Linked DNA regions of Tamandua tetradactyla. The protein of the gene in region 3 binds, or shares a complex with, the protein of the main gene of each other region. Links are inferred from orthologs where the notes say so. Each region holds a gene or a part of one and is shown on either strand. Other genes may lie near its edges.

Evidence for each region. Proteins that work in one complex are often made in the same cells at the same time.
Region 1: ACAD9 (region 3) and TMEM186 share a complex: the UniProt entries of both Homo sapiens proteins name them as parts of the mitochondrial complex. The link is inferred for Tamandua tetradactyla from reciprocal best matches to the Homo sapiens genes ACAD9 and TMEM186.
Region 2: the proteins of ACAD9 (region 3) and ECSIT are in contact, whole or in part, in a cryo-EM structure (PDB 8PHE), measured with the Homo sapiens proteins. The link is inferred for Tamandua tetradactyla from reciprocal best matches to the Homo sapiens genes ACAD9 and ECSIT. Residues at the interface, in NP_054768.2 of Homo sapiens: Leu180, Thr181, Asp188, Ala189, Ala190, Ser191, Ile192, Lys228, Lys239, Asp240, Lys241, Ile242, Phe293, Ala296, Met297, Leu300, Ile431, Met434, Tyr435, Leu438, Thr439, Leu441, Gln442, Gly445, Thr449, Leu516, Gly520, Lys521, Ile523, Met524; in NP_057665.2 of Homo sapiens: Pro321, Glu322, Glu323, Trp324, Asn325, Leu326, Tyr327, Tyr328, Pro329, Met330, Leu332, Asp333, Leu334.

The regions. Positions count from the first base shown.
Region 1 is NC_135349.1:48,648,455-48,659,133, reverse strand, and holds TMEM186 (transmembrane protein 186), read right to left. Parts: upstream 5,043-10,679; 5' UTR 5,004-5,042; coding exon 5,001-5,003; intron 3,935-5,000; coding exon 3,299-3,934; 3' UTR 2,664-3,298; downstream 1-2,663. Other genes in the region: PMM2 (phosphomannomutase 2), read left to right, coding at 5,270-5,335. UniProt on the Homo sapiens protein: As part of the MCIA complex, required for efficient assembly of the mitochondrial complex I.
Region 2 is NC_135337.1:90,395,987-90,407,281, reverse strand, and holds the start of ECSIT (evolutionarily conserved signaling intermediate in Toll pathway, mitochondrial), read right to left. Parts: upstream 5,164-11,295; 5' UTR 5,075-5,163; intron 4,867-5,074; exon of another isoform or gene 4,747-4,866; intron 4,199-4,746; exon of another isoform or gene 4,150-4,198; intron 1-4,149.
Region 3 is NC_135335.1:32,577,069-32,587,592, forward strand, and holds the start of ACAD9 (complex I assembly factor ACAD9, mitochondrial), read right to left. Parts: upstream 4,917-10,524; 5' UTR 4,814-4,916; coding exon 4,670-4,813; intron 38-4,669; coding exon 1-37. UniProt on the Homo sapiens protein: As part of the MCIA complex, primarily participates in the assembly of the mitochondrial complex I and therefore plays a role in oxidative phosphorylation.

The sequences.
Region 1 (10,679 bases), on a different chromosome or scaffold from region 3:
ACCTTGCTTTTGCTATTAAAAACAATTAGATGAACATCCTCACATGTATGCTTGAGGATTTCTATTGAATTAATATTTTCAAAGGGGAGGAATCACCAATATATCCACCACTGAATCGAAAACCACTTCAGTTTCCAGGAAAGCTACTTCACAGTCCATCCCACAGTTCTGAAGAAGTACAAAAATCCCACGTGGCAACCCTCAAACCTTGGGAAATGCCTGGGAATTCCTGGGGAAGCCTAAATCACCAGGGAGGGCCCGGTCCTACCGGAATCCATAATGGATTCCATTATGGAGCTCATAAGCCCAGATGACCTCTGTTGCTTGTTGATTTGGGGTTCCCCGATCCTGTTCTAGCGTTGTCATGCAGAAGCCCTAAGCCACTTCCCATTGTTACGTGGAGAGCTGTGGCTTTAGTTAGGAGTTAAGTGGATAGAATAACATTTGTTCGGTGCGACCTCTGCTGGTACTGTGTGGGCAGACCACAAATCGGAGTGGCCTGGTGAGACTAAGGGCTCACAGTCCTTCCTTGCAGGCTCCAATGTGACTACTTTAGGGCAGGTTTTGTCAGCCCTAGCTGCACATCTGAATCATCTGGGGGACCTTTCAAATAGCAATACCTGGGCACTGGTATTTTTAAAAGGCTTTCGAGGTGATCCCATACATGGAGGTAAGCCTGAAGACCCAATCTGGAGACCAAAAAACAAAAACGGCCTAGGAACACAAGATCTGCAGAAGCATGTCCCATTTTAGGGTCTCTGTCCTGGCAGTCTATTTCAGAAATGTCCCCACCTGGCTGCATTTCGGAGTTGGTTCAAGTTTGCCAAAAAAGACAGCCTCTCAGGCTCCACCCCAGACCTACACGGTCAGAACCTCCAGGGGTGAGGCTCACTCAGATAATTGCTTACAACCAGCCTAACACTGAGGGAGGGCATTTGAATTAATTTTTGGCTTTAATGAGATCAAGGTCAAATCACTCATACCTCTTAAGACATTTCATAGCTATAGACTGTATGTCTTTGAGGGGAAAAGCTTCAGTTGATCCCAGAAGGGGCTGAGAAGCAGGTGAGGAAAACAATCATAAGGGAACACACCTATCACATGCCCAACACTGCCTCATAATTGAACCTTCACTACAGCTTCTTGAACAGAAATAATGTCCCCACTATACAGGGGGAGAAACTGAAGGAAGAGCCCTCTGTGCAGGTATCTAGTGAAAAAGCCTTCTAAGCAGAGAATGCCAGTGCAAAGGTCCTGAGGCAGGAGTGCCCTTGCTTCTTGGAGAAGGTCAGTGTGCCTGAGTCATACAGAGCAGAGCTCTGGGGAGGTCTGGGCTAGACCATGCTGAGCCTTGTAGGCCATTGTAAGGACTCTGGCTTTTACAGCAGTATCCAGTCTTGAAGGATCACTGCTGATATGAGAACAGGGTCTGGTAGAGCCAGGAAGGATGCAGTGGACTGCAGCTATCCAAAGATGCAGGCAGCTTAGATCAGGGTGGTAATGGTACAGGGAGTGAGTAGTGGTCTGATCCTGAATATATTTTTAAAATAGGGTCATCATAAGACCTAAGTCAATGGAATGGTTTGGCATGTACCTTGAAGAAAGAGCAAGCACTTTTGTATGGATTTGGGGCTCTCTAGGCCCACTGCCATGCTCTTGGTCTCACTTTGTGAGAATCACTGTATGCTGAGAATGTATAAATGCCACTCGTCCTCCCCTCCAGGCCCCTCTATCTAGGAAAACTATTGGGGCACAAAGACTGGCAGTGGGTGCGCAGTGTCTCCAAGCATGAAGGACAAACTCATACCTCCCCCAACCACCATGCCCTTTCTCCCACTGGCAGGAACTGAAGTGTAAAGGGAATTTAACAACTGAAACAAACCAGTAAGCCTAAGTCCCTTCATGTGTATCTTTAAGTAAAGGTGAATAAACATTAAAAGTAGCTGTGAATGTGACTGTGTGATTGTGAAAACCTTGTCTCTGATGCTCCTTTTACCTACCTTGTCAAGAAACGAGTAGAACATTTGGAATAAAAATAAATAATAGGGGGAACAAATGTTAAAATAAATTTAGTTTGAAATGCTAGTGATAAATGAAAATGAGGGGTAAGGGATATGGTATGTATAATTTTTTTTTCTGTTATTGTTTTCTTTTTCTGTTGTCTTTTTATTTTTCTGAATTGAGGCAAATGTTCTAAGAAATGATGAATATGCAACTATGTGATGATATTGAGAATTACTGAATATATATGTAGAACAGAATTATATGTTAATGTTTAATGTTTTTGTTCTTAATTTTTTAATTAATAAATTTTTTTTTAAAAGTAGCTGTGATTTCTTGTTCTTAAAAAAAAAAAGTTTTAATTCCTTTCTCTGACCTTCAAAGGCTTCCTACTGTGATATCGATAAAATTCAAAATCTTTCCCTCCTGCCAACAAGGCAGGTCTCCTGACCTTGCTCTTCCTCCCTCCCTAGCTCCACTTCCACATCTTCTCTGTTCCTCAGCAAATGCACCCAGCTCTCCCCAGCTCATACTCACAGTTTCCTTGGACTGAAACAAACTCTGTGCCTGCCTCTTACTTCCATCTCAGGGCTCTATTTAAGGTCCCTTCCATGCCCCTCCCCACCCCAACCACCCCACTCTCCCATTGCATTCGCCACCACTTGTAACAACATAGGTTTATTTGTCTAATGTCTGTCCTGCCACAAGACACTCAACGACAAACACCTCCAAGGCTTTTATGAACCTCTGGTACCCTCAGAACAGAGCAGTGTCTGGGACTGTGACGTAAAGCTTAGTATTTGCTCAGGGTCACTGAGTTTTCAAAGCATTCGGATATTTACTGTTTATCCTTATACCCATCCCAGGAGACAGGCAGGACTCTCCACTTTGTGGATGTGAAAACCAATGTTCAAAGACATTCAAGAACCTACCCTCAACAGAAAGCTGAGAAATGAAAAACTTGGGAGTCTTCAGACTCCAAATCCTGGGCTCCCCCAGCCACATCTCTGTTTTCTAATTTCCCAACTGTGTACCATGCAGGTGAACCTGACGTAGCCTCCTCCATGAACTGTCATTATTTGACTTAATGTCATATACACAAATTGCAGTTAAGAATCTGCACTAAGGATCTTTTTTCTAAACCTGATTACTAGCTTCTGCCTCATGAATTTCCTCTTCCCAAAAGACAAGTTCCCAGGGGTCCTGGCAAAGACTCCAACTGTCCAATCCTCTTCTTCAGCCTTGCCCTGTACGCTCAGTCTTCCCTTCAGAGATCTAGGTGACCAGAGCTAGGGATTCACTTGAGTGTGTCCAGGACCCCAAACACCTGTGTGAACCGCTCTTCGTCCAGGATGCGTCCATAGCGCAGGGTGAGATAGAAGGTCTGTTTCCCACTGTACTGCTGAATTCGCATGAACGCATCCTGAGGCCGGTCCCTGGTTTCCGTCAGGGGGATCACATCAGCCACAGGGCAGTATGTATCTTGCCGCCACCCCCAGAAGTTCAGGTGTGCTACACGCAGCATGGTGCCCGACTCACTGACATACAGGATTCCCACCAGTCTTCGGAAGAAATAGCTCATCCAGCACAACATGGCCAGGGCAAAGCCAGCTATCCCAGCCACAAGGCACAAAGAGTCGAGAGTCATGAGGCCCTGGGAGTACCAGTAGAAGCCTGGGGGCAGGGCCACTACTGTCAGAGCTGTCTGTGCCACCTTCAGTCGAGACAAATACCCGAAGGCTCTGATGGCATCAAACCGGTAGACCATACGGAATTTCTCTTTCTCTGGGTCTGGTGGTTTCTCCTCTGAGGTGGGTGACCTGGTCCCCACGCACCTCCTGGGATCCTGCTCAGTGCAGCACCACAGCCCATAGAGAGGCCTTCCCCACGCAGCTGGTCCCCGCAACCGGGGTATAGCTCGGAGAAGGGCAGCCTGCAAGGGAGAAAGGAGAACATTTCTCTTACAGAACTCCATCATAGTAATCTGCAAGGCTTCTCACACAGAGACTCCCCCCTCATCCTGAGGTCATCAGTGACACCAGAGATGAAGAGAAAGGTAAAACCAGATGCTCTACCTCAAGTGCCCTTTGCACCAGCTATGTGCAGTAGAGAGCACTACTTCCACTTTACCACTGAGGAAACCAAACCCACAAAGGATAAAAAAAATTTGCCCCAAAATGGACAGCTAGTGAGGGAGGCCAGGTCTGACATTCAAAACGTTCCTCTTACCTCCAGGCAGTTCCAAAAAGGTAAGAAAAGGGGGACCAGCCTTCATTCATTCCACAAATAACTAATAAGGGTCAACTGTGGGCCTGGCATTATGCTGAGCACTGGATCCACAAGGCTGTGTGGACACTTCCCCAGTAAACAATCAGTGTCCTATCAGGATACTGGAGCAAGAAATCAGTGAGATACTTATGATAATAACTTTTCAATTCTCTGTCAGGTTTATGCGTTAGCTTGGGTGCCTAACCAACTAACTGCTAACTAACTCCTTAGCCTAGCTCAGGAGAGGAAAACAGCAGAGGGGAAGGGGAAAAGATTATCCTAGGCGCGCAGTTCTACACCTTGTGGAACAAAATGGAAAAAGCTCTGAGCCCCGGGCCTTGAAGCCAGATCTGGGTCCCAATCTGGGTCCCAACCTGGCTCCAACCGTCACTAGCTGTATCTCCTTGGACAAGTTACTCAACACCTCTGAGAGCCCATTTGCCCATCTTTAAAAATGGGGATTCACAGCAAAGTGAAAGATAAAATGATTTGAAAGTCCTCAACACGGCGCTTGAACAGGTGAGCGCTCGGTCAGTTTTAGCCATCACTATTATCAGCCCATGTGACCTATGGAGGGCACAGGAAGCCAGAAAATTAAGTGCAACCCACGCCGAAGTTTCTTCCCGCGGATTCTCCGAGTCAGAAACTCGGGCGTCCTGCCCGTCCGCCCCAATTCTACCCTAACCCCGGAAAACGCAATTCCTCCCTCATTCCATTACTCGCGTTTTTACCATGGCCCCGCAGCCGGCTGCCGGAAGTGAATCCCGCCTGCCTCCGGACCTCTAAGGGCGCATGCGCATACGTGCAACGACAACGTCGAGGCGCACTACATTCTGGTCGCTGTGGTCCAAAGCCAAGTAGTCGCTGCTAGTCCCCAGGCATTGTGGGAGTAGATTCTCCGCCTCCCGGCTTGCCCTGCGGCACGTGGGCCGGACCAGGAAGTTCCGGGTTGAGTTCCTGGTGCCAACGAGTCCTCTTAGGTGGTCACGGGACCGGAGACATGGCGGACCCCGGCCCAGTGCTCTGCCTCTTCGACGTGGACGGGACTCTGACGGCCCCGCGGCAGGTAGGCGGCGCCCGGTGGGCCGGCGGCAGCCGGTGTGGAGCCCTCTGCTGGGATCAGACGGGACTAACGACGCCCTGGGTGGGCGGCGAGGGCGGTTGAGGACCACCTCCGGTCGGCTAATGACCTCCTACCAACTCCAAGGGGCTGAGTCTTAATCTGGTGTCTTGGAGGGATGTGAAGAAAGCCCTGTACAATTCTTCAAGACCTCAGGGTGTTCTGAGTGATGGGACGGAACCAAAAAACGCCTGAGAGCAGGAAACTTGCACTGGATTGAAAAGTGCAGTTCTAGAATCTCTCCGTAAGTCCTGCGGGCTGGTGGCCGTGGATTTGAACCACAGCTCAGGGCTCCTTACCAGCCATGTGCCTTCTGAGGTCCCGTTATCCATGAGCTGTGTTGTGTAGCCTAATATTAAAATCAAAGAATTCGGGGTCAGGCAGTCCTAGGCGAGTCTCAGCTTCACCACTGTGTGACCTTGAGCAAGTCACTTAACCTCTCTACACCTCAGTCTGCAGCTTTAAGTGAGGACATTCTGTATTTTTTATGTTATTCGTGAGGATCAGATGAAATAAAATAAGCTTGTAAAAGTGTCTTGCACGCAGCAGGCTTTAATAAGTGTGAGCCACCACCCTCCTTTCTCACCCCTGCAGTGGATCTGGACAGCAGAGGAGTTGAAGTTAGAGGCTACCTGTTGAGACTTCTCTCGGACTTTTTAGGTTCTTGCTTCTCATTCCCAGATTTTGCTGCCATAGATATGGATAGGTTTCAGCTAAAATCGGCATTTGTGATGAGGCTCACTATTATCTCCTGCACAAATTGATTGCTCAGCATCAGCCATTGAGATTTGAGGCTGGGCCCAAATAGCTTTACCGTCCTCAAGTACAACCCCTCTACCCTATTCCCTTTCCTGCCATTGTTTTTTAGCTGAGTGGGCAGTGGTGTACCCAGAATTCCACGTTATATGTGTGTGACCTTAGTCACGTCATTTTATCCTCTGAGCCACAGGTTCAGTCTGTCTGGCAAGTTCTCCAAAGGCCCTGAGGTTCAGTGATAGCACACATTTGTGGGTTGCTAAAGGTCCACAGCGGTCTAAGACAAAGATCAGCAATTCTTTTTTTGTAAAGGGCCAGACAGTAAATTTTCATCTTTGCAGACCCTTTTTTCTATAGTAACTACTCAACTCTAATGCAAAAGCAGCCATAGTGAAACTTAACCCCACAAAGGATAGGCCAAGCCTACTTAAAATTAGTCCTAAGAATCACCCCCAAGAGAACCTCTTTTGTTGCTCAGATGTGGCCTGTCTCTCCAGCCAACACAACAAGTAAACTCACCACCCTCCCCCTGTCTACGTGGGACATGACTCCCAGGGGTGTGGACCTTCCTGGCAACATGGGACAGAAATCCTAGAATAAGCTGAGACTCAGCATCGAGGGATTGAGAAAACCTTCTTGACCAAAAGCGGGGAGAGTGAAATGAGACAAAATAAAGTGTCAGTGGCTGAGAGAGTCCAAACAGAGTCGAGAGGTTATGCTAGAGGTTATTCTTACACATTAAATAGATATCACCTTGTTAGTCAAGATGTAATGGAGAGGCTGGAGGGAACTACCTGAAAATGTAGAGCTGTGTTCCAGTAGCTGTGTTTCTTGAAGATGATTGTATAATGATACAGCTTTCACAGTGTGACTGTGTGATTGTGAAAACCTTGTGTCTGATGCTCCTTTTATCCACCTTATCAACAGACGAGTAAAACATATGGAATGAAAATGAATAATGGGGGAGTAAATGTTAAAATAAACTTAGGTTGAGATGCTGGTGGTTGGTGGGTGTATGGTATGTTAAAAAAAAAAAAAAAGCAGCCATAGACCACATGTAAACAAATGGGCATGGCAGTGTTCCAATAAAACTTCATTTACAAAAACAAGCAGCTGCTCTCTTTGGCCAGTGGACCATGGCTGATTGATCCTTGGTCTAAGTTTTTATTTCCAAAACTTTTTTTACACAATATCATTGGATCCTCTCATACCTTCTTTCCTCCCTCTTCCACTCCAAGTAGGATAGTTGTTATTCCCAATTTACGCATAAGGTACCTGAGATCCCATGCAGTTTTGACCTTCTCAGTTTCACACAGCAGACCTGCTACAAATCCCTGGACCCTAGGGCATCGCTGTTTGCCACATTTGCCATTTCCTACGGAAGCTGTTCCAGTTGTTATGGATGCTGTTTGGAAAAGTGCTTTAGATTCTCAGAAAGATTCAGAATGTCTGAGCTTAAAGCTTGAAATAGTAAAGAAACCAGGTGACCTGCAGTGTAATCCCTTATGATTTAGTTTATTAATGCTGCTGGGATATGATAACCAGAGATGAAACAGCTCTTATAAGGGGAATTTATTAAAGTGCAAATCTACAGTTCTAACACTATAAAACGTCCAAACTAAGGCATCCAGGGAGAGATACCTTGACTAAAGAAAGGACTGATGACATTCAGGGTTTTTTTCTCTCAGCTGGGAAGGCACATGGTGATGCCTGCTAGCTTTCTCTTCCAGCTTCTTTAAACAACTTCCCCTGGGGGCATTTTATTTCTGTATCTCTAGACTTCTCTGGGTTAGCTTTGAAGCTTTTTCCAAAATGGTTCCCACGTAAAGGACTCCAGTAAGTGACCCATCTTGAATGGGTGGAGATGCATCTCCATGGAAACCACCTAATCAAAAGGGCCCACCCATAACTAGGTGGGTCACATCTCCATGAAAACAACTTCATCAAAAAGATCCCATTCAGCAATATTGAATCAAGATTAAGGAACACAACTTTTTGGGGTACACAACGGTTTCAAACCAACATACCTTAAAACATTTGAAACAGGCTGTTTTTCTGCATTGAACTTGCAGTGAGTTTGCCAAACTGCAAAGTCACAGGGAACAGTCCCCCAAGACTGCCCTCACTCCAGATACCAGCCGCAAGTTCACAGGCACCCAAGACAACCTTCATGTCAGACCAGCTGGCTACAAGTTTAGGGGTTCCCATGACCACCATCAGGTTCGGTGATTCAGTAGAAGGACTTACCCAACTCAGGAAAGTGATAAAATTACAATAACAGTTTTATTTGGGGGAAGAATACGAATTAGAATCAGGCAAGAGATGCATAGAGCAAATTTTGGGAAGGGTTCAAGCGTAAAGTTTCTGTCTTCCACTCCCCATGAAGTCCTGGATTGTGTCACCCTCTCCTGACCACTGTGTGTGACAATACACTTAGAGTATCACCAACCAGGGGAGCTTGCCTGAGCCTTGGTTTGCAGAGTTTCTATCAGGGCTTAATCATATACTGCCCGCATGGCTGACCTTTAGTCTCCAGCCCCTTCAGCTTAACTCTCCAGTTCCTCCAGAGGTCAGAACTGCTCATATGGCTTAAAACCCCCATCATAATTGGTCAACTATTTGGTGACCAAAGCCCCCAGGCAAACAAAGACACTCATATCAGGCAGGACATTCCAGGGGACCAGAATCGCCTCCAGGTAGCTGAGGGCAAAGGTCAGACCTTTGAGTAAAGCTAATTCTTCCCCAGAAAATAAGTTTTTACAGTAAAAAAAAAAGTCTAATTAAAAGATAGTTATTCCTGTTTGCTCTAAATAAAAATATTTCAGCAAAAAATATATTCATTATACAATCTTTCCCTTCCTCAATATATGAATTCCCAAACATGGATAAGTCCAGTATAAACCAGAAGCAGAAGAATGGGTTATCTTTTCTTGCAGAAACAAGTAACTAACCAGGCAAAATCTAATTAGAGTGGACCCCAGGGCTTTCTCAAACAGTTCGTTGTTTGAGTAGAATTTTAATGTGCTGAGTCCTTTGCTAAAAAATGCCATTCCATCTGGGGCCATAGCCTTCAGAAAGAACGGGATATAAACCTGTGTGAATTGTTTGTCCGACTTTTCATTATGAAAGACTTCAAAGATGTAGAACCACTGAAAGAACAGCCAAGGGGACACCCTATCCCCACCATTTAGATTCAACCACAGTTGGCATTTTGTCATATGAACTTTATCTCTACATTTTTTGTGATTTGTCTTGCCCAACCACCTCCTAAGTCACAGTCATCAGGGTACTTCCCCCCAGCTCCTTCAGCACGCATCTCTTAGGGACACAGACGTCCTCTGTCTTAACTACAGTGTCATTATGAGACCAAGACCAGTATCCCCAGTTCCCTAATACTTAACTCCCTAGACCAGAGTTCAGCAAACGATTTTCTGTGAAAGGCTGCAGCGTAAATATTTGAGGCATTGCAGTCCATCTAATCTCTGTCACAACTATTCAGTTCTGCATTCAGATGGTGAAAAGAGCCATAGATGATGTGTAGATGAAGTGGCTTGGCTGCGTTCCAGTAATACTCATGTACCGAAACGGGCAGAAGGCCAGATTGGGCCTGTGTGCCCTCATGTGCCAGCCCCAACCCCCTGGCCCATAGTCCTAATTGTCACAAGAAGTCTTTTATAATTGGTTTTTTTAAGAAGTTGAATTTTTAACTTCATCCCTCTTCAATTCAAGCATCTGAATCTTTCTCGGTGATTTATTTTTTCTGGGGTGGTTTATAAAGCAATTGTTATAATTATCGACATGAGTTATTTGGGAATATTGAGACAATTTTGCTGTACAGTTATCTTGTACTGTAGATCTCCGCTGCAGTAGGATATAATTCAAGTGCTCACTTGTCATGGCAGCTGGGGCTTATTTCCTGTCAGAAAATGTTTGCTGCCACTTAGGAGAGAAAAGATACTTTCTGTACCCCATCGCATTGCAGATTATGTCAGCATGACTGACCACAAAACTATTTAGCTCTTTTGTGTCCACGAGGGATAGGATAAGATAAACATAACTTTAGGCTTCTGTTTGAAGATGGGAATATTGCTTTTTTTCTTTTAAGTATCTCATTTTTAATATTTTGCATTGAAGAGCCTTTCCACTATCTCTCATTCTGATGTCAGGTGTGAGTAAACCGCTGGGGACTCTGGGACTCATTTTCACAGTCCTCGGTGATTAATGGAGTCTGCTGGTGCTATTCGAGATTTTGTCTAGTGGGTGAGATTCCACTGTACCTGAAATGTAGAAAAGACTGTATCTATTATACACCCTTTTGTACAACTTTATTTTAATAATTAATCATATATATGTTTTACTGGTTAAAAATTTAAAAAGAAAAAGTTGATTGAACTCCAGATGTTTATTTACTGAAGTTGAATTTTTTTTTTTGAAAACTTTGTTAAGATATTTCATGTATGCATACAATTAAGATTGATAAAACAACTAATGAATTCTTAAGGTTTTTTAAGTCATTGTGATTTGTCTAATATTT
Region 2 (11,295 bases), on a different chromosome or scaffold from region 3:
TTTACTTTCTGGACAGTACTGTTTGCAGCACAAGTTTTAACTCTGATGACATCCAATTCATCTACTTTTTCTTTTGTAGCTATGCTTTGGGTATTGTATCTAAGAAACCATTAGATAAGCCAAGCAGAGTAAATCCTGTTTTCTTTTAAGACTTTTTATAATTTGAGCTCTCAAATTTAGGACTATGATCCATTTTGAGTTTTTGCATCTGGTATGAGGAAGAGGTTCAACTTCCTTTTGCCTGTTGAAATCCAGTTGTCCAAGCACCACTTGTTGTAAAGATTAATCTTTCTCCATTGAATAGTCTTAGCACCGTCGTTGAAAATCAACATGTACATGTAAGGGTTTATTTCCAGACTCTTAATTCTCTTTTATTGCGCTATCTATCTAGCCTTATACCAGTACCACAGTGTCTTGTTTACTGTTGCTTTGTAGTAAATTTTGCAACTGGGAATGTGAGTTCTCCATCTTTGTTATTTTTCGAGATTGTTTTGGTTATTCTGGGTCCTTTGTATTTTCACGAGAATTTTAGGATCAGCTAGCAAATTTTACAAGCAAGATAGCTGAGATTCTAGAGATAAGGACTCTGTTGAATTTGTAGATCAATTTGGGAGATGCTCCCATCTTAATTAAGTCTTCTGATCCACAAACATGGGATGTCTCTCTAACAATTTAGATCTTTCCTGGTTTCCTTCAACGTTTTGTATAGTTTTCAGTGAACAAATCTTGTACTTCTTTTGTTAAATTTGTTCTTAAGTATTTTATTCTTTACGAAGCTATTGTAAATGGAAACGATCTTAATTTCATTTTCACGCTGTTTGCTGTATATGGAAATATAGCTTATTTTTATATGTTCATCCTCTCTTCTGCAACCTTCCTGGATCTGTTTATTAGCTCTAATCATTATTTTGTGCATGCCTTAGGATGAACATGTATTTTCATATATTTTCTATAGCCAGACCATGTTATGCCTGAATAAGTTAGTTTTCCTTCTTCCTTTCTAATCTGGGTGCCTTTTATTTCTTTTTTGCCTGGCTGCCCCAGCTCAAACCTCCAGTACAATGTTGAATAGATGTGGTGGGGGTAGACATCCTTGTCTCTGTCCTGATTTTAGCAGGAAAGCATCCAGTCTTTTACCATTATGTAGGAGATGCCCTTTCTCAAGGTAAGTTTCCTTCTATAAGTTTGTGGAGTGTGTGTTTTTGTTTTGTTTTATAGCAAGAGAGTCTTTGAATAATAAACTACTTTGTATTCCTTATATCTTCCCTAGTTTACATTTGCATTTCTCTCATTGACACCAGTTGCCACTGATTCAGAATTGTGGAGTGTTTTTATCAAGAAAGGGTGATCTTTCTGCATTAAGATGGTCATGTGGTTTGTCCTTTATTCTATTAATATAGTGAATGACACTAATTGATTTTCCTGTTAAACTAACGTTGCACGTCTGTGATAAACCCCACATGGTCAGAGTACATAATTAAGGACTTTTGCATCTACAGTCATTAGAGATACTGGCCTGTAGTCTTCCTTTCTTGTGATGTCTGCATTTGGCTTTGGTATCAGGATAACACTGACCTCATAGAATAAGTTGGAAAATGTTTGGACCCTTCTTAGTGCCATTTAAATCTGTTCTAGTTTCTCCCATCTGGACCCCAGGTACCACTCCAGCCTCTGCTCCATATCCTACTCCCTTTACAGCAAAGTTTCTCCCAAGAGGCTCCTTCCTCAGTGTCCCCAACCTGGCTGCTGCTCTCGTCATCCCACGGAAACCAGTCTTGTAAAGGTGCCGCAGCCCCACCCCGTGTCTTACATCTTACCTAAGCCACTGGTTACTTCTCAGGCTTTATCTTCCTCAATTTTTCAGGACCTCCTGGTACAGGTGACACCCCCCTCTTCTTCCCTCCCATCCTGCCTCTTCTTTTGACATCCGCTTGGTTTGCTTCCTAGATCCCAGGCCTCTGTTTCTCAGTCATTCAGCAGTTTCCCCTTCCCTCCCACTTCCTTCTAGAAAATTTACAATGCTTACAAACTTGACAGCGCATATGCATCACCTGGTATCTTGGGTAAAATGCAGACTCTGATTCCGCCGGCCTGGGGTGGGGCCAGAGAGTCTGCACATGTAAAAGCTCCTGCATGACGCTGATGCGGAATGATGCTTTGAAAAATGAGCCTGCAGAACCCCATATTCTGGATTCATCTGTCGGCTTTCTTGTGGCATCAGTGAACTTATTCCTCACTTCTCTGTATTTCCTGTACACAGCTCTAGTGGTTCTCAAACTTTGTTTATATTAGAATCATCTAGGGAGATTTAAAAATTCCCAATGCCCAAATCAAAACCACAGTGAGATATCATTTCACACGCACTGGAATGGCCATATCAAAAACAAACAAACAAAAAACAGGAAACTACAAGTGTTGGAAAGGATGTAGAGAAATAGGAACACTTCTTCAAGGCTGGTGGGAACATAGAATGGTGCAGCCACTTTGGAAGGCAGCTTGCGGCTCCTCAGGAAGCTAAGTATAGAACTGCCATATGATCCGGCAGTCCTGTTACTAGGTATAGACTCAGAAGCACTGAAGGGAGGGATGTGAACTGACATTTGCACATTGATGTTCATAGCGGCATTACTCACAATTGCCAAAAGATGGAAACAACCCAAGTGCCCATCACCCGACGAGTGGATAAAGAAAGTATTATTTGGCTGTAAGAAGGAAGGAAGTCCTGAAGCCTGGGACAACACAGATGAACCTTGAGGACATTATGTTGACCGAAATAAGTCAGATACAAAGTGACAAATATTCTAGGATCTCACTAATATGAGGTAATTATAGCAAGTAAACTCACAGAGATCAAATCTAGAACATGGGTTACCAGGAGGTAGAATGAGCATTTTTAGAATGGGGAATGGATATTTAATTTGTGTAGGATTTTTAACTAGATTGAATTTAAATTAGGAAATGGATAGAGGTGATGGTAGAACAATATGGTGAGTTTAATGAACAGCACTGAATTACATGAGTGATTGTGGTTGAGAGGGAGAGGTTTAGAGTAGACTATGTCACTAGAAAGAAATCTAGAAGATAAAAACGGGGCTGCTTAACAGTGAATCCTGTGGTGGACAATGACTGTGATTAACTCTTCTTTCATGAACTAGAACAAATGTATGTCATTATTGCAAGGAGTTAATAACAGTGATATATGGGAAACAATGCACCTACAGCAAAATACGGACTATAGTTACTAATAATGTTTTAATATTCTTTTATCAACAGTAATAAATGCTCCACACCAATGCTAAGAGTCAATAATAGGGGAGGATAAGGGGTATGGGACGTGATGGGTTTTGTTTGCTTGTTTTTGTTCATTTGTTTGTTTTTGAGTAATGAAAATGTTCTAAAGTTGAGTGTGGTGAGGAATGCACAACCATGGGATGATACTGTGAGACAATAATTGTATTCTTTGGATCGATTATATGATATATGAATGTATCTCAGTAAAGTGTTGGAAAAAATTTTTAGTAAAAGTAAATTAAATTAAAAATCTTCATGCTCAGGCTAAACTCCAGATAAATTAAATTCAGAATAACTAGGAGTGGGGCCCCGGCATCAGCATTTTTAAAGCACCCCAATGACTCTGGTATGCAGCGAAGATAGAGAACCACTATTCTAAACTTTTCCTATTCAAACTGTGTCCCTAAGGCCAGCAGTACCACCATTACTTGGGAGCTTGTTGGAAATGTAAAATCTTAATTCTAATCCTAACCTGCGGAATTAGAATGTGCATTTCAGCAAGGGCCCCAGATGTCTCTGATGTGCCTTAAAGTCTGAAAAATGCTGATCTATGTACTCTCAAAAATGTATCTCCAACACCAGCCAGGAGCTCCAGCCTCAATACCTAAGAGCCACTCTGGTACAAATCTGGCCATCTCAAGCTCGACTTCCTCCAAACTGACATCCTTGCTTAAATTTGTTTCTCCCCATCCCACCTAATGGTGCCACCATTTCAAGTTTTCAGGCCACAAACATTTTGCAAGTTCACTATGTCCCTCCTTCCCCCAAGCAATCCATCAACTAGTACCAGAACTCCTTCCCAACTGATTCCCAATGCATCCACTTCTCTCCATCCATCACCCGTCCCTGGATACCTACCCAGTCTCCCACTTCTGCCCTTGGCTGCCTCCAGTCAGTCGTCGCCACCCTGACAAGAGGCAGCGTTTTAAAACGTAAACTAAATTCAGTGCTCTCTGCCTAAAGTCACCAATGTTATATCACACTTAAAATAAAACCCCCTAACTCCTCCCCTTCCAAACTCTACTTCAATCATGGGCAGCTCCAGCTACACTGTTTCTAAAGCCGAGTTTATTCCAGGTTCAGAGTTTTTTTTGCATTTGCTTTTCTCTCTTTTTTGAAACTCTGTTTCCCCAGATCTCCCTAGGACTGTCTCTGTTCAAATAAGAGGCCTCCACTGACCGTCCCCGACCCCAAATCTAAAAGCTCTCATCACCCCCAACTAATGCATTTTTAGCAGTTTTCAGTGTCTGAAATCCTTTCAGGCTTATTTCTGACTTCTACAAAGCTTGGTTCCTCCAAGAATCTGTCTTCTTCATTGTTGTATCTCCAGCAATCAGGGCAGTGCTTGGTAAATAGTAGCTACCCAACAAGTATCAGTGGAATGAGAGTAAGCGCTACACTTCTATAATTCTGAATCCCGCGGCAGGATGTACGTACAACTCTGCAGCTGGCTACCTGGATTCTGGATCCCTGGGAAGAAAAAGGCCGACGCGGCTTGGAATTCCCGCCTCCCTACCGACTTGCGGTGTGACCACGGACCAGTGTTTTAACCTCTCTGAGCCTAAATTGTCTCATCTGCAAATTAAGAAATAAGGGGCGTGGGGCGACGGGCGTCCTTGTCCGGCACGTCTCCTCCTGGCACCTCAAAAGGTCATGGCTCCCTGACCCTGGAGGCTGGTTCCCTCTGGGACCCTCCCTCCACTCTTGGGGATACGGAACCGGCTGCCCCCGGGCCCAGCAGCTCGCGTTCGTCCCCTCACGCGCACCTCACGGTCCCACTTACCTCCTAACGCTGCCGGCCTCGGCCTCCAGGCCGGCTATGGCTTGCCCCTGGGCGCAGCCATGTTGGCCCGAAGGCCTTCCGGGTCACGGGCCACCGGGGCGACAGCCAATCAAAAAGGCCAGTTTAGCGATTTCCCGCCCACATCAGGGGAAACACCAATAGGAAGGCGAAGTTACCTTGGTCCCGCCTCACAACTGACCGGCCACGCCCCTGAGGAGGCAAACCACCCCCGCCCCCCATCCTGGGAACCGGAGAGCGCGGCTGGAGAAGGACCCGCGGGAACTTTTCCACGCTGCGAGGCTGGACTCCCGGGACCTATGGGTACTGCCCGAGGCCCCAGTTTCTCCCCACCTGAGACGCGAAGATGACTCATTAAAGCTGGAAGAGATGTGGATTCCCTCACTTTGCAACAAACATGTGTTGAGCGCTCGCTCGGTGCCAGGTGCAGTTCCAGGCGCTGAGGGTCGTTGCAGTGAATGAAGGTCCTGCTAATTCTAGCTCGGAGACTGTGCCTCGATGACCTCGCCTGCGAAATGGGGCAATGATAATACCGAACCTCATAGGGTTGCTTGAGGTTTGGTTGCGTTCCTTTATGCAGAACTGCCATATAAGTGTCTGCTATTATTATGGGGCACTCACCCTCAGCAGACCCCACCCCCACACCCCCACTGCCAGGACGCGGAGTCTGCCTTGACTCTTAGACCACCTTCTCTGGGGACTGAGGGTCCCGCCCCGCTGCGTGTGTTCACGGATTGTGTGTCCTGGGGTCCGATGTCGGGGTGATACAGTGTGGACGGTGTTATGCTTCTTTGCGGCGTCTCAAAACTCGAGCCAAGGGGTGCGGGGGCGATCAGAGTCACACACCACGCTGTGAGGGGGTAGGGTGGCCCCCGTTTGTGCCCGTGTGAGCCGGGCCAGGTTAGGCATAGGTGTGTGTGACAGCGTGTCTGGGTGAGTGTGTGTGTGGATTCTTTGTGTATCCGTTGCGTCGATAGCTGCAGGTGTGCCTGTAATTGGACCAGCTTCTGGGTGTCTGTGACTCTGTGTGTGTGTGTGTGTGTGTGTGTGTTTGTGTGTATGTCCCACAACTTTAAAGGCTGGCAATATGGATAAGCACACTTCCCTGATTGCTTTTGGGCCTTAATGTGTGTGTGATTGTGTGTATGGACACGAGTGGGTCAATGACTGTGTTTGTGACTTCCCGTTTGTGCCTAACTTGTGCGCGAGTGATGGTGTCCCACTTTCGGGGTCCATGTGACTGTGCGTGTGACACCCCATATCTGTCTCTCTATGTGCGACTGTGTGTCTGATTCCCAGTGTGTGTCCGTGACTGAGTCTGTAACACACGTGACTGCATGTGTCGTGACACACAGTGTGTGATTCATTGTGTTGTGTGTGACTCTGTGTCCCAGCAATGGTGTAACAGGCCCAACCACACCAAGCCCGTGACAGTGTGTGGTTGCGTGTCCAACCCTGGGTGTGTGTTTGTGGCACGCTCGTGTGTCTCTGACTTGTATGGATGTGATTCTTCCTCGCCATTGGTGTGTCACTGACAGTAGACGACACTGTGTGCCTGCTGAGCCTAAGTGTGTGTCCCTGTCCTAGTGATTCTGTGACTGTGTCCAGGCAACCCTGTGTGGGTCTTTGTCTACGATGGCAACAATCTGTGTGTGACTGTATTTCCGACTACACCATGCATATCTGTGTATGTGGTTGTGTGTCCCATCCCCAGTGCCTACCCAGCGATGGCTGTGCCCCAGAGCGTGCGAACTCTGCTCCCCTGGATGCACACCCGCAGTAGATCTCGCCCTGAGCTGGACTCCAGGGAGCCAGGAGGCAGAGGGGTGGGGCCACGCGGAATGGAGGGGCGGGGAAAAACCTGTCCCCGCCCCTCGCCAGTTTCTGATTCCACCCCCACCCCCACCCCCGCTCCTAAGAAAGTGGAAACGAAGCCAAGAAAGGCGGCGGGGAGAAAAATAAGTCTTCAGACAAAAAAGTGCAACCTAAAGGGAAAAGGGGAGCAAAGGGCAAACAAGCTGGAGCGGCTAACCAAGAAACTAAAGATTTACCTGCAGGAAATGGAGAAACTAAAAATGAGGAGAGTCCAACCTCTGATGCAGCAGGAGAGAAAGAAGCCAAGTCTGATTAATATCATATCCCATGCCTTATCAGTGGTCCCTGTTTGTCCCTTCTTGTACAACCCAGAGGAATATTTTTATCAACTATTTTGTAAATGCAAGTTGTTAGTAGCTCTAGCAGAAACATTTTTAGGGAGGAGATTGGAATCTCGCCTCATCCCATTTTTTTAAGTGTAAATGCTTTTATTTAAGAGGGGAAATTATTTGCTGGTTGTTTCTTTTTTGATACAACCAGAAAACAGTGGGATATTGACGTGGAAGGCTTTGACTGTCTCGGATGTCAACTTAAGGTTCCATAGGGTGGGGGGTGGCCGTTTTTACACCCTATAACACAACATATACTAAATGAAGGTTTGGAGTCGCTGTCATGCATTTAGTACATGTTGGACATTTTAAATAACTTCTGTTCTGTGTTTTTTAGTAGAGTTGTTTCTTAAAACTGCTCCCTAGTCTTGGCTATCCCTGTCAGAACTGCGTGCACACTGTAACGTCCTTGGTCGTGGTAGTCCAGTTTGCCTCATAACTTCATCATATGCTGGGGAAGATTGGAAATGTGCGTGTGGTGTGTATAATAGTAAATTGTGAATTAGTGGGACTTAGTGATGTAACAGCTTATCACCATTTGAAGACAGTGGTACTTGCTCATCTTCATAGGATAAACTTGCCTCCAAATTTTAAGCTGGAAAGCCACTGGAATAATTTTAGAAAAGAATTACAACTACATGGCTTTTTAGATTTTTGGTACGTGCATTGAGAATTGTGTACAAATTGTTCATAATGTCTGTGCTCATCTTCAGAACAACCAATAAAATCTCACTATGGGGAGAAAAAAAAAAAAACAGACAAAGGGACCCTCCGGGGAGATTTCCAGAGCAGGGCTGGCCCAGCCAAGGAGCCTCACGGGCCAGTCAAGCCCAGACTCATCCATGCCAGCTTCCCACATGAGCTGGCCTGAGTCGTCCAGGGTGGGGGTCAGGGAAGTCCCCGCTCCCTTCCCCTCGCCAGTGGTGGCTGATGCCTCTGGTTGCCCACTCGATTGTATTTGGAATCCGGCTGGGTGGGACTGGGGGGTACATTCACCCAGTCTTTCCCTTCCCACTCTCACCCCTGCTGCACTCCAGACCTGGCCTGGATTCTCGGTAACTGGGGAATCAGATGCTCTCATTAGCATGCATTTTGTCTCTCCGACTCCTGCTGCTGCGTAGCAAAGCCACTGGAGACACCCCAAGGTATCTCCCCACCAGCCTCCCCACGCCCCAGATCCACCAGTTTTAACATTTTGCCACATTTACCATTTGATTCTGTCTGTCTATCTGTCTGTCTGCCTGTCTATCTACATATCCATCCATCCATCCATCCGTTTATCCAACCATTTATCTGTCTATCTATCCGTTGATCCTTCCATTCGTCTATGTATTTAACTATTTTCTAAACCTATGAGAGTAGGCTGTGTACATCATGCTCCTTGAACGCATATTCCATGTACGTATCCTAAACACAAGACAGCTGACTGTGTCACCACCTGTTCTACGTTGCTAGCTGCCGGACTGCAATATACCACAAATGGAATGGCTTTTAAAAAGGGGAATTTAATAGGTTGCTAGTTTACAGTTCTCAGGCCAAGAAAATGTCCCAATTACAACAAGTCTATAGAAATGTCCAATCAAAAACATCCAGGGAAAGATACCTTGGTTCAAGAAGGCCGGTGAAGTTCAGGGTTTCTCTCTAGTGAGAGGGCACATGGTGAACACAGTCAGTTTCTCATCTGGAAGGGCACATGGCGAACACGGCATCATCTGCTAGCTTCCTCTCCTGGCTTTCTGTTTCATGAAGCTCCCCGGGAGGCGTTTTCCTTCTTCACCTCCAAAGGTGGTTGGTGGACTCTGCTTCTTATGGCTATGTCGTTCTGCTCTGCTCCCTCTGAATCTCTCATTCCCCAAAATGCTTCCTTTTTTTGGGGACTCCAGTATAACTAATGAAGACCCACCCAAATGCGTGGAGACATACCTCAACCTAATCCAGTTTAACAACCACTCTTGATTAAATCACATCTCCAGGGAGATGATCTGATTACAGTTCCAAATTTACAGTACTGAATAGGGATTAGAAGAAACGGCTGCCTTTACAAAATGGGATTAGGATTAAAACATGGCTTTTCTAGGGTACATACATCCTTTCAAACCAGCACACCACTTTACGGACCGTGATGAAATACAAGAACTTCAACGTTGTTATAAGGCTTATAGTCTAGAGAACAGGGAGTTTTCTGTCTGTCTTGCTGAGTGCCATTTCCCAGCATCTGGAACAGAGCGTGGGACATGTTAAGTCCATATTAGTGATAGTGATGGATGAATGCATGGATGCCTGTTTCCTACTGTCCACAGCAACCTCAGAACACTTGCAACTGTCCCTTATCCTTGTTGGGATTCTCTGCTTCTACCTCTGTGTCTGCTCATCTGAGGCTTTAAAAGAAGCCCCAAGTGAAAGTCTCCCTGGCACCGTGGGATCAACAATTCCATCCTGACCAAAAAGGGGAAAAGAAGTGTAACTGAAAAAGTATCGATGGCTGAGAGAGTTCAGATAGAGTCAAGAGGCTACTCTGGAGGTTGCTCTTATGCAAGCTTCAGGTAGACCTTGCTACCTATCATAACCTGCCAAACCCTGACCAGGACCATTCCAGCCAATCCTAAAGAACACCTAGGGCAATGTATAAGATTCTGTAAAGGTTCCACGCACTAGGGGTAACTTTCCAGAAACCTACAGCCTCCAAACGGGTCCCTGAACCAGATAAGTGCTGAAACCTAGAAGGCCCAGCCTCTCCAGAACATCAGATAGTTCCATCTCCCTACCTCATATTATGGACAGATCCTTCTAAAATAAAAAAGTTAGAATGGCCATAGCTCAAACACCCCTTAAGAGAGGGATAGAAAGATCAAAGATGATGGTGGAGTTATAAAGAGAAGGTAGGTTTTAACAAATGAATAGGATTGCTGAATCATTAAACTGGTATTTCTTTTAGTCTCTAGTATCATAGAGCAGCTAGAAGTAAATACCTAAAATTGTGGAATTGTAACCCATACCAAACTCTGAAATCTAGTCTACAATTAAATGTGCTGTGCTTTGAAATTTATTGCTTTTTTGTTTTTTTGGTATATGTTATTTTTCACAAAAAAAGAAAAAAAAGTCGATTGTGATGTTAAAAATATGTACATTTATTCCTTCTAGCCTCCTATGTTCTGGAGCCGCTGGAAGAAAAAATCTGAGAGGATGGTATGCGAGCCCATGACAAACTCTGGGATCTGTCCTGTAACTACCTGTTGAAGAGTGCTTTCAAAACTATTGCTTTTTCTCTTTCTTTGCTTTGTATATATGTTATATTGTACAATTTAAAAGCTAAAAAAAAAAAAAAAAAGAAGAAGCAGAGCACCCCCAGCTGCCTGGCTTCTGCACAGCTTCTCTCGGTCCCTGCCTCCCTCCGTCCTTCCGCCGACCCAGGACCAGCTGCATCCTGTCACCAACTCTCGCGCCAAGTGCTGTCTGCTCTCAACCTTCGACCCTCGACCCTCGGTCAATTTTGTGTCCTTGGGTCTGGAGGGTGGGGGCGGTGTCTCTCCTGCTTCTCTCCTGCATCTCCATCCCCCTCCCTCACCCCCGTCTCCACTTTCCTGTCCGCACATGGTTTCTGAAACCTGCTAGTGGCTCTGCTGAGAGGTGCCGATGGTGCCACATTGTCTGGTGCAGATGCCTTTCTAAATTTCGGGGGTGTTGACCTTGGCTTGGCTGGTCCTGGGCATCCTCGGCATTCCGGGAGTTTCCAGGGCCTAGGGCCTGCCAGCTCACCCACTACAGTACAGGGTGGGGGAGCCCTCAGCTCCCAGAGAAGAGCATGGGAAAGGATTCAAGAGCTGTGGAAGAACTTTCTCCAACATTTCTGGCAACCTGGACTCAGGACCACAGTAGTGGGGGGCCCAGCCCACCGCGAGAAGGCTCAGATTCATTCAGCAGATGTGTCTTATGTGCCCCCTTCCTGCCAGGCACTCCTTCAGGTCCCAGCTTTGGGGAACAGCAGTGAGGGGGCTAAAA
Region 3 (10,524 bases):
CATCTTGGCTAACTTCAGGAAATGGGAAAACTTCTTTCTAAAAAGGATAAACATTTACTAACAATTTCATTTTTTAACAGCCTCCCACCGTGGTAATGTCAGTCAAGAGAAAAACATTTGCAAGATTTCACATCTGTCTGGCAGGACATTACATGCAGAAGGAATTAGAAGGTAAACCTGAGAATATGCCTAACCAACAGGGATTGCAAGCTAGACTGCATCACCTAGCTGAGATTGTTCCTGATTTTGGAGAGCTTTCCTTTTCCCATTAAAAAAAAGGCACTGGATCAACATTTAGAAGGCCTGAGTTCCAGTTCTTGATTTATCGTTTCCTGATTGTGTGACCAGAGCCACATTTCTTCACAAGCCCAAGCTTCCACTTTCCCACCCATAATATACAGGTAATATTTACTCAAGGGTGCTGTGAGGGTTGTGGAAGATAATGTGTGGGAAAGAACACTACTTAAGATTCTACATCGGCTATTTTGTGTGTTCAAAGATGTTGACAAGGGCCTAAGTGGCCGCAAGGATCCAACCTCAGGCCAGGCCCCCACAAGGCTGCCAACTATGGCCTCTTTTCCTTCCCACCTCCTGATGTCTGCTACTTATGCTGCATGTGTGAGCAGTGTGGTCACTGGAAGAGACCCAGCCAATAAGCCAGAGTCACCAGGTTCAACCAGCTCGGCCAATTCTTAGCTATGATTTGTGGGGCAAGTCAAACAGCCTTTCTCAAAGTGAGATGATCCTATTTATCTTAGGAGGTCAGTGTGGGGCTCATAAGAGATTACATGGCCTGGGACATGTAGCTCTAATTACTTATGTTAGATATTGGCTCTGCTCCTGTCTCCACCTTGTGGCCTGGAAAATGACTTAGTTTTGAGTCTCCGTCTCAAACTGGTAAGTGGCCAGTGTTTCTATCTGGCCCAGGATTTCTCCACTGAGCCATCACTAGACATTCCTTGAAATCATCTTGCTGTGTCCTCAGTCCCTCTGGCTTTCTTCACTCCAGCGATCCCTGCAGCTGCCAGCATGGGATGACTATATGGAGTTAGACCCACGGTTGCTGAGAAGGGACATCATGGGTCAAAAACTGCCAGCTCCCAAGAGCCCTGCCTCTCCTCACAGTACCACTCCTCAAGCATCTTCAGAAAGGTCTTTAGAAGAGCGCTCAATCTATCCCCTCCGACCTCTGTACCTCAACTCAACCTCCAAAGCCTTTCCTCTCTGGCCCTGTGACTCCAAGCTTACAGGTGGATTCCTACTTCAAAGTGGCAGCTGACAAAGGAATTCCTGCTTCCAGGCCATCCCTGACCCAGCCCTCAAAGTGATCAAGAAAGAAAATGCAGGATAACTCCCATCACTCTGCAGCCCCTAGAACAAAGTCCAATCTCCATAGCTTAATATACAGAGGATCAATCCATCTCTATCACATTCTCCTTCACAGCCTCATTAGTTCTTCCTGAGGCCATGTGCAATGGGCTGCATTATAGGAAGATATTCTGGTACCCATGAGCATGCCAGATAAGAAAACAGCCTGGAACTAACTGGCCCTTGACTATGACCAAAGGGTATCTGTGACATGATACCCTGAGCTCAGGTACATGTAAGAACTCTCCAATTACAATGTTTGAAAATTGAATGGGATGTCTCATAGGCGCTGGGTTCAACTAGTAATTTTCAGTTTGTTTTTAAAGCATGGAAACTGTTTCTCAAACAACTCTAGCATAGAAAAAAATAATAATATAAAACAGATAAAAGCCAAGCTGCTCCAATTGAGGCTGGAGGTGGGGAGAAAGATCCCAATGGCCCACCCACTCAGTTTCCCACTGGTCTTGGCAGGAGCCCCAGGGGCAGTTCCGGGAAGAGCAAGTGTGGCAAATGCTGGCCTAGATGAGCTTAATGATCTCTTCCTATTCTGAGATTCTAAGCATTGCTGCCACTTTCCTGCTCAAATTCCGATAATACTGTGAGAGCTGAGGTTGGTGATTCTGGATATAAACTGCAGGAAGGGAAGACAGGATGTGTTGTCAGAGTAGATGTGGATATAAGAATAAGAGTTATAAGGATTCCCAGTGTTCAGTCTGAACAAGTAAAATAACAGTTGCCACTGTCTACAACAAGGAAGGTGGTGGAGTAGAGAGACCAGCAACTCAGTTTTGAATGTTAAACTTGAGACAACTATTAGGCATCTCTTATGGGCTGAAAGGTGTCCCCCCAACCCTTCCTTCCCAAAAATATGTTGATGTCCTAGTCCCTAGTCCCTCGGAATGGGACCTTATTTGGAAATAAAGTTGCTACAGATTAAGATAAAGTTATAATCAGAAATTAGAGCAACGATTCTGAATGGGATGAGATGGGGGGGTGGGATGAGGTAACAGAATGTGGAGTTATTGCTTAATGGGTGCAGAGCTTGTTTTGGGTGACAAAAGTGTTCTGGTAATGGGTGGTGCTGATGGTAGCACATGGGGAACTTAATCAAAGCCAGTGAAGTATACACTTCAATGGTTCACATGGGAAATTTTGAGTTGCATATATAATACCACAACAAAAAGGTTTAAAAATGATGAAAGATGAGGTCATAGTAGCGTTGGAAGGCTCCTAAACCAAAAGGACTGGTGATCTCAATAGGGTCTGACACAGGGGAGGTAGCCATGTGAGGATGGAAGCAGAGAGTAAAGTGCTGGAGCTGCAAGCCAAGAAACGTCAAAGACTACTGGCCAACACCAAGAGCTAGAAGAGGCAAGGGAGGAGTCTCCTCTACAGGTTCAGAGGGACCTTGCTTTCAGAACCAAGACAATAAATTGCTGGTGTTTTAAGCCACCAAGCTCGTGACAGGGGCCCTAAGAAACTAAGACAACATCTAAGTGGAGCTGTGGGGCAGAAAAGTAGACATAAAGTCTGGAGTTCAGCTCTGGGGCAGAAAAATAAATATAAAGTCTGAACTGAAGAAATAAACTCATAGCCCGAGCCTTAGAATATACCACTCTAACTGGGTATGTCAGAAAGAATGACGAATGTGTAGAGGTCAAGGAACTGAGAAAGAGACTGGGTAAGACCAGACTGAGGTAAAAAGAAGAACTGGGATAGAATGGTCTTTCAGAAGACAGGTGAAGAAAGTGCTTCAAAGAGGGTGGTGGGATGAACTGTCAGATGCCAATGATAGGGCAAGATTAGGACCGAGAAGAGACCATTAGATTTGATGATGTGCAGGCCACGACCAACTTTCAGGAGAGCAGTTTTAGAAGAGTGTTAATGACAAAAGCCTGAGATGAAGTAGAGAAGGAAACACTGATGATGCAGATGACAAAAGACAGAGTAAGTGAATCAGATCCTTGAAAAGGTGAGAAGGCATGAGGTCTAGTGATGAGGCTGGGCTTTGGGAGTTGAGAGTTCATTCACAGTCATAGGAAGAAAGTAGAAGAAATAGGTATAAATGTGGGGAGGAGAGGGTATATGTGATGATGAAAGTTCTCCTTGACTGCAGGTATTTTCTTAGTGAAGCAGGAAGCAAACTTGACCGCTGAGAGTAAGGATGGGAGAGTCGGCACCAGAGGTTCAAAAACCTGAAGGAAGAAAAGCTTGTGTCCTTTCCTGGCCATGCTGTTTAGAGGCATAGGTCCCAGGAGACAGCACAACACAGCCTCACATTCAGGGTGAAAAAAAAAAGGTTTCCCAAACTTTAAAGACTTAGATCTGCACTCACTGACAGGAAAACCCACTCTCAGTCTGTCTCAGCTTCTACACCTGTACGGCTGGTATAAAAGGGTCAGCCTAACAATCGCAGAGGAATGTTCTAATGAGAAAGGAACTGACTCCTTAAGCCATACAGCAGCAGTCAACTTTTTGCTAAGCCTTGCTCAAAGCACTTCACAAAAGTTTTTTCTTTGGACTGCACAGCACCTTTAGCTGAGGATGAATTATGTTTATACTCCTATCCTGTAGAAGAGCCCACTGAGGCACAGGGACCTAAGTGAGTACCTGAAAGTTACACAAATAAGCACTGACGCCAGCATTAACAATTCTGCTGCCTCTTACCTCTACCCAGTACCTTCCTGCTTAGAAAACAGTTCCAGATACCACTGTGAGGTAGAAGCATGACTAGATGCATTTTAAGGTTGAAGAACTAAGGCCCCCCAAGTCATAGAGCCGAGGTCAATTTCAAGTCTTCAAACAACAAGAGGATGGAAAGTGCTTAATAACCAAACCGCTGCTATTGACTGTGACCGCGGAAGGGATGGCGAGAAGAAGGCACCTTGGAGCCAGGTTCTTCGGCAGCCTGAATGGTAGGTTCCGGAGCCGGGACTCAGCTCTGAAACCTAAGAGCAGTTGGAAGCCCACGAGGAGCGGCAGGGTCTGCGCTGTTTAGAAATCAGAGAAATCTCGCACATTTTGGGGCTAAGACAACCCAGTTGAGCTCTGCTTGGCGATCACCTAGAATAGGGTTTCCCAAATTAACCTGACAGGAATTAGCTGGAATAGCTGTCAAAATCATGGTTTCTCCAGGCCCCTTTCTCTGGAAAGGCTGGAGTGGGACTCGTAACACGCCCCGCCCCCAGGTGATTCCAGTTAGGCAGATTTGGGGACACTGACAAAGCTCGACACCTGTTTTGCTTGCTAGGGCCGAAAGGTGGGAGCCGGGGAGCAAGGGTCAGCTCGGGCCTGGCGTTACCTTCTCGATTTTGCCCAGGAAGAGCTCCTTGGCGAAAGCTCCGCTCGGAGGGCTGGTGCGCAGCGTGCGTCGGCTCGCCGGGAAGGCGGCCAGAGCCCGGCAGGAACGCGCCGCCGAGCGCAAAAATAGCACGCAGACGCTCATGCTGCCTCCAACTCCTTAAGCCGCCGGGTCCGCCGCCGCCACTTTTCAGCATCAGCAGTCTAGTGCACCTGACTCGCGTAGCCCGATGACGCCACTCGACTGCGACGCCCCCCCCCAACATTGCGCTTGCGCTACCTCCCGCGGACTGCCGGCTGGAGGGGGCGGATCCGGGGGCGGGCCCGGGGGACGGGAAGGGGCGGGGCCGGCACCGGCCCGGGCGCCATGTTGGCGGCCTTGACCTCCGGTGGGTGGTGCATGCGAGGTAGGTTATATCTTCCAATGGCAGTCCTCTCCAGGAACAGATTGGTCTTCTTTCTTTAATCTCTCATTGTGCGTGTACCATGACTGTAGCATTTACCACAGTATTGGAAAATATTTTCCGGCTCCATTATATGAACTTGAGAACAGTAGGAAATCTCGTTCATGTCAACATGCTTTAACCCCCTCCTTGAGCGAGTCTCAATAAAAAGTTGAATTAATTGCGTTAAAGACCTGATGACCCAACGTCAGAAAGATAAGAACCCAAAGACTTATTTGGTTAAAAAATATTTGCAAAAAAATTGTACTTTGGGTAGGGTGTTGCCTAATTTGACTTGTGTGGTCAGTTCAGTTGAACACCATAAACTTGAATAAGACAGGAGATCTTGTTGGTTTGTACAGGTTGGTGTAAAGCCTGGATATATCCCCGAGTAATCTGGGCAGAGAATGAAGAAGTGTTTGTGGGGGCTGTGGAGGGCCAGGAGCAATAAATCAGGCCGGAGCAAGGAAAGTCCCCAAAAATCTGGGGCGAAATGTCCCCAAGAGTTAAACAATGACCAATGTTAGGAAACTGAGGGAACAGGATGTGTTTTGGCAACAGTTAATGGCATTTTTCTGCTTCTGTAATTACACTTGCTTGCTAGCACCTGCAAACCACAACATGATTTTAGCCTTTATAAGCTCACCTTGAAAACCTCTGGGAGCTGCTCTCTGAATCATCCTTCTTGAAGGTTTCTGAGGCAGTGGCCAGCAGGTTAATAAAGACTCCCAATTGGCTTGCAGTTTTGAATTGTGTGGTCTGTCTTTCAGTGCGCCCCACAACATTTGGAGGCCCCAGCAAGATTATCCCTAACAGGACATCTGGTGACCACCGGTCCTGGATCGCCCCTGGAACCAAGGTCCAGCATAGGGGAAGGCCTCGGAGAGACGTTCCTCCACCCCAGGCAAGGACCAGGGACCAGGCCGGTTCTACAGGACTCTCCTAAATTATAGAAAATCTGGTGGAGTCATCTGTTTTTGGAAACCTCACCGGTGAGTACAGGTCTGTTATTGGATCCAGTGAGGACCTCTGGAGGGCTGAATGCAGCATTACTTCTGAGGTCCAGTCCTGGAGCAAGACATTGCCCAGGACTATGGGTTAGGAATTAGTTAGGGATAGCTCTTTGCTTATTTTGATTTGTTTTGTCCCTCCTCCCAATTGTTGGTCTCATCGCATTCTGTGTCGTTCTTGTCTTAATTGCCGTGGGTCAGTCAAGTTCATCTGTCTGTACTCCCCTTCAATGTTTTTTTAAAAATTTTCAGGAATTTCAGCCGAAGGCCAGAGACTACAGAGCCCCTGTCAATACCTTTGACTTGGAAAAATTCTGTTCATGGGAGTAGCCAACTTTTGGTACTGGGTGGCCTCCTGAGGGAACCACAGATCTATCTGTGGCTTATAAAGTCCAAAGGGCGATTTTTGGTAATCCAGGCCACACTGACCAAATCCCCTGTATGGTAATTTGGATTGAAATCTTTACAGAAAAACCCAAGTGGTTACAGTCCTGCATGGAGACCCAAAAAGGAAAACCCCCCAAAGCCAAACGGCCCTCTTAATAAAATTCTCTCAGAAAGAAAAAAAACTAATGGGATCCCAGTATTGACAGGACCCTTGGAGGATCTGCTCTCGATGGACCCTCCCCCATACCCAACAGCCCTTCCGCCCCCTCTAAGACCAGAGGGGAGGAAAGGTCAAGAGGTGGCAACCAGCCCCTCTGATAGCCAGGAGGTGACCTTCAGTCCCCCCCATACCAGAAGTGGTTCTGCTTACCACCCTTCTTCTGGTTCACAATCACCGGATTCTTCTGGAGCTCCAATTTTACCCTTGAGGCAGGTTGGCCCTGCCCTGGGGGATGACCGTCCACCTTTCATGGTCTATGTCCCCTTTTCCTCTAGCGATCTGTGTAATTGGAAAAACCAGAATCCCTCTTTCTCTGAAGAGCCGCAAGGGCTCATCTCCCTCTTGGAGACTGTCTTTTTGACGCACCAGCCCACCTGGGATGACTGCCAACAGCTCCCCCAGGCCCTCTTCACCTCCGAAGAATGAGACTGGGTCAGGAGAGAGGCGAGGGAGTTAATTCTTGGACCTGATGGACAACCTACTACTGAATCAACCCGATTAGAGGCTATGTTCCCCTCCACCTGTCCCAGACAGGACCCCAACACTGAGAGAGGTAAGGAGGCTCTTGATCGATATCACTGGACTCTGCTCTGGGGAATACAAGTGGCGGCCAAGAAGCCAACCAACTTATCTCAGGTAAGTGAAACCGTACAAAAGCCTGATGAATCTCCGGCCGCTTTCCTTGATCTCCTCCTTGAGTCATACCACTTGTACACCCCTATAGATCCAGAGGCACCCAAAAATAGGCGAGCTGTAAATATAGCATTTGTCACCCAGTCGACCCCAGATATAAGAAAAAAGTTACAGAAATTAGAAGGATTTGAGGGTAAAGTGCTATCCGAACTGATAGAGAGTGCCCGCAAGACTTTTAATGACAGAGATAACCCCGGAACCACGCAGTCCCAAAAAAAAATAGCCAAAATTTTAATATCCGTGATGGCTGAACAGGAAAAACAAAAAGGTAGGGTACACAGGTAGTTTAGTGGTTAGAATGCCCGCCTTTCATGTGGGAGACCCGAGTTCGATTCCTGGACCACGCACGCACGCACGCGCGCACACACACACACACACACCCCAAAAAAGGAAAAACAAAAAGGTAGACAAGAAACCATTGAAAAAAGAAAGGGAAACCAAGGAAAAGGTTGGGCCTACTAATGTGCCTACTGCAAAGAGAATGGACATCAGAAAAATGAATGCCCTAAAAGAGAAATTAAAGGACTGAAACCAGCCCCTGTTCTAATTGGAGAGGTGAATTGATGGGGACAGCGCTCCTTTCCATTGAGCCCCCGGGAGCCCAAGTTCACCTTAGAAATCTGGGGCAAGCCTATAAAATTTCTTGTGGAAATACTCGGGCGACCTTCTCCATCCTCCAGCAAGCAGAAGGGCCCAGATCTAAGGAAAAAATCCCCATACAGGGAGCAACGGGAAAGACAATGTCTTACCCATGGACGAAGACAAGGATCACTGACCTTGGGGAAGGAACTGTCACCTACTCGTTTCTTGTAATGCCAGAGTGTCCATACCCCCTTTTGGGGAGAGACCTTCTCCAGAAATTACAAGCCACCATCTCTTTCAAAAATGATTCGGCCGAGCTCTCCTTCAATATAAAACCCTCGGCAATCTTCCTCACTTGCCCCTTATTGGATATTCACTTACTGCAGAAGTGGTGCTGTTGGCCCCAGGCCCATATTTGCGGGAATTTAAAGAAAAAATACCAGGCATATGGGCAGAAACTAACCTACCAAGATTAGCCACCCACTGGCCTCCCATTGTTGTCCAGCTGACTAGCACCACCACCCCAATCAGAGTCCGACAGTACCCAATAAGCTTAAAGCCTAAAAAAGGCATTGCAGTCCATATCAAAAGACTCAGAGGCAGGTATTCTAGTCCCCTTCCATTCGGCCTGGAACACCCCCCTTCTCCCAGTCCAAAAAACCCGGGACTGACGATTTCCGGCCAGTGCAAGATTTCCAAGAGGTAAACAAAAAAATTGAAACCATTCACCCCACTGTGCCTAACCCATATACACTCTTGAGCCTGTTACCTCTCAGCCAGCAGGTCTACACTGTTCTGGACTTAAAGGATGCCTTCATTTCACTTCCCCTGGCCGTGGTAAGTCAACCCATCTTTGCTTTTGAATGGACTGACCCAGAGTGGGGGTTCTCTGGACAACTAACCTGGACTCGGTTGCCTCAGGGTTTCAAAAATTCTCCCACCCTGTTCAATGAGGTTTTAAGCCAGGATCTGGCTCGTTTTAGACAAGAGCATCCAGAGATAACTCTCCTACAATATGTGGATGACCTCTTACTGGCAGCTAATAACCTGTCAGACTGCAAAAAGGCAACTGAAAACTTGTTACAGGAACTAGCCCAGTTGGGCTATTGGGTCTCAGCCAAAAAAGCCCAACTCTGCACCAGTTCAGCAACATGCTTAGGGTATGAATTAGAAGGGGGAAAAAGAGCTCTGTCTTCTAAAAGGATTGAAGCTATCCTAAAAATACCCTAACCAAAAATGAAAAGGCAGGTACGGGAATTCTTAGGGGCAGTTGGATATTGCTGGCTCTGGATTCCCGGGTTTGCAGAGATAGCAAAACCCCTATACACTAGCACAGGGGGAAAGGAGGAAGCTCTACCTGGACTGAGGCTGAGCAAAAAGGTTTTAAGATGCTGAAACAGGCACTTGTGAGCGCCCCTGCCTTAACCTTGCCTGACATATCCAAACCTTTTCAACTACATGTCGCTGAAACCTGGGGAATAGCAAAAGAAGTCGTCACCCAAATGCTAGGGCTATGGAGGATACCAGTTGCCTACCTGTCTAAAAGACTAGACTATGTAGTGGCCAGGTGGCCAAGCTTTCTCTGAGCCATTGCCACCACTGCCATTTTAGTAAAAGAAGCATCCAAATTGACTCTGGGACAGGACTTACACGTAGTGGCCCCACATTCAGTAGAAACATTACTAAGGAGCCCACCTGAGAGATGGCTCTCAAATGCCCGGATAACCCAGTATCAGGTATTGCTACTGGATCCCCCAAGAATCTGCTTCCTAAAAATGGTGGCTCTTAACCCCACCACCTTGCTTCCGGATGATGATCCGTCCGAGCCCATCCATGACTGTCGTGAGATTTTGGAACCTCTCACGAACCTGAGGGCTGATCTCACCGACAACCCCTGGCCAAATCCTGATGGAAAATTATATACAGACCGGAGCAGTTGTGTCTCAGAGGGAATCAGGTATGTGGGGACAGCGGTGATAACTGTGGACCAGGTCATCTGGGCTCAGGCCCTAGGACATGGGACTTTGGCCCAGAAAGCTGAACTAATAGCTCTGACCCAGGCTCTAAGATGGGGAAAAGGAAAGGTTGTCAACATCTACATGGACAGCAGATATGCCTTCGCAACTGCGCACGTCCATGGGGCACTATATCAGGAGTGGGGACTTTTAACATCGGGAGGCAAGGGAATAAAAAATATACCAGAAATATTCACCTTGCTAGAGTCTATTTGGTTGCCAAAGAGGGCAGCCATTATACATTGCAAAGGACGTCAGACTGCCAAAACTCAAATCGCCAGAGGAAATGCCCTGGCTGATAAAATGTTAAAAGAGGTTGCCCAAAAACTAGTGGGGATGCTGCAGATACTTTCTGTTTTACTGGGGTGAGTGCTGCCGAGCCCTCCAAAATATACCGGGGAAGAGATTAAATTGGGCAAAACTCTGGGCACTAAAACAGATCCGGATGGTTGGAAAGTTCTCCCGGATGGGAGACTCCTAGTTCCAGAGCACCTGGGGAAAAATTT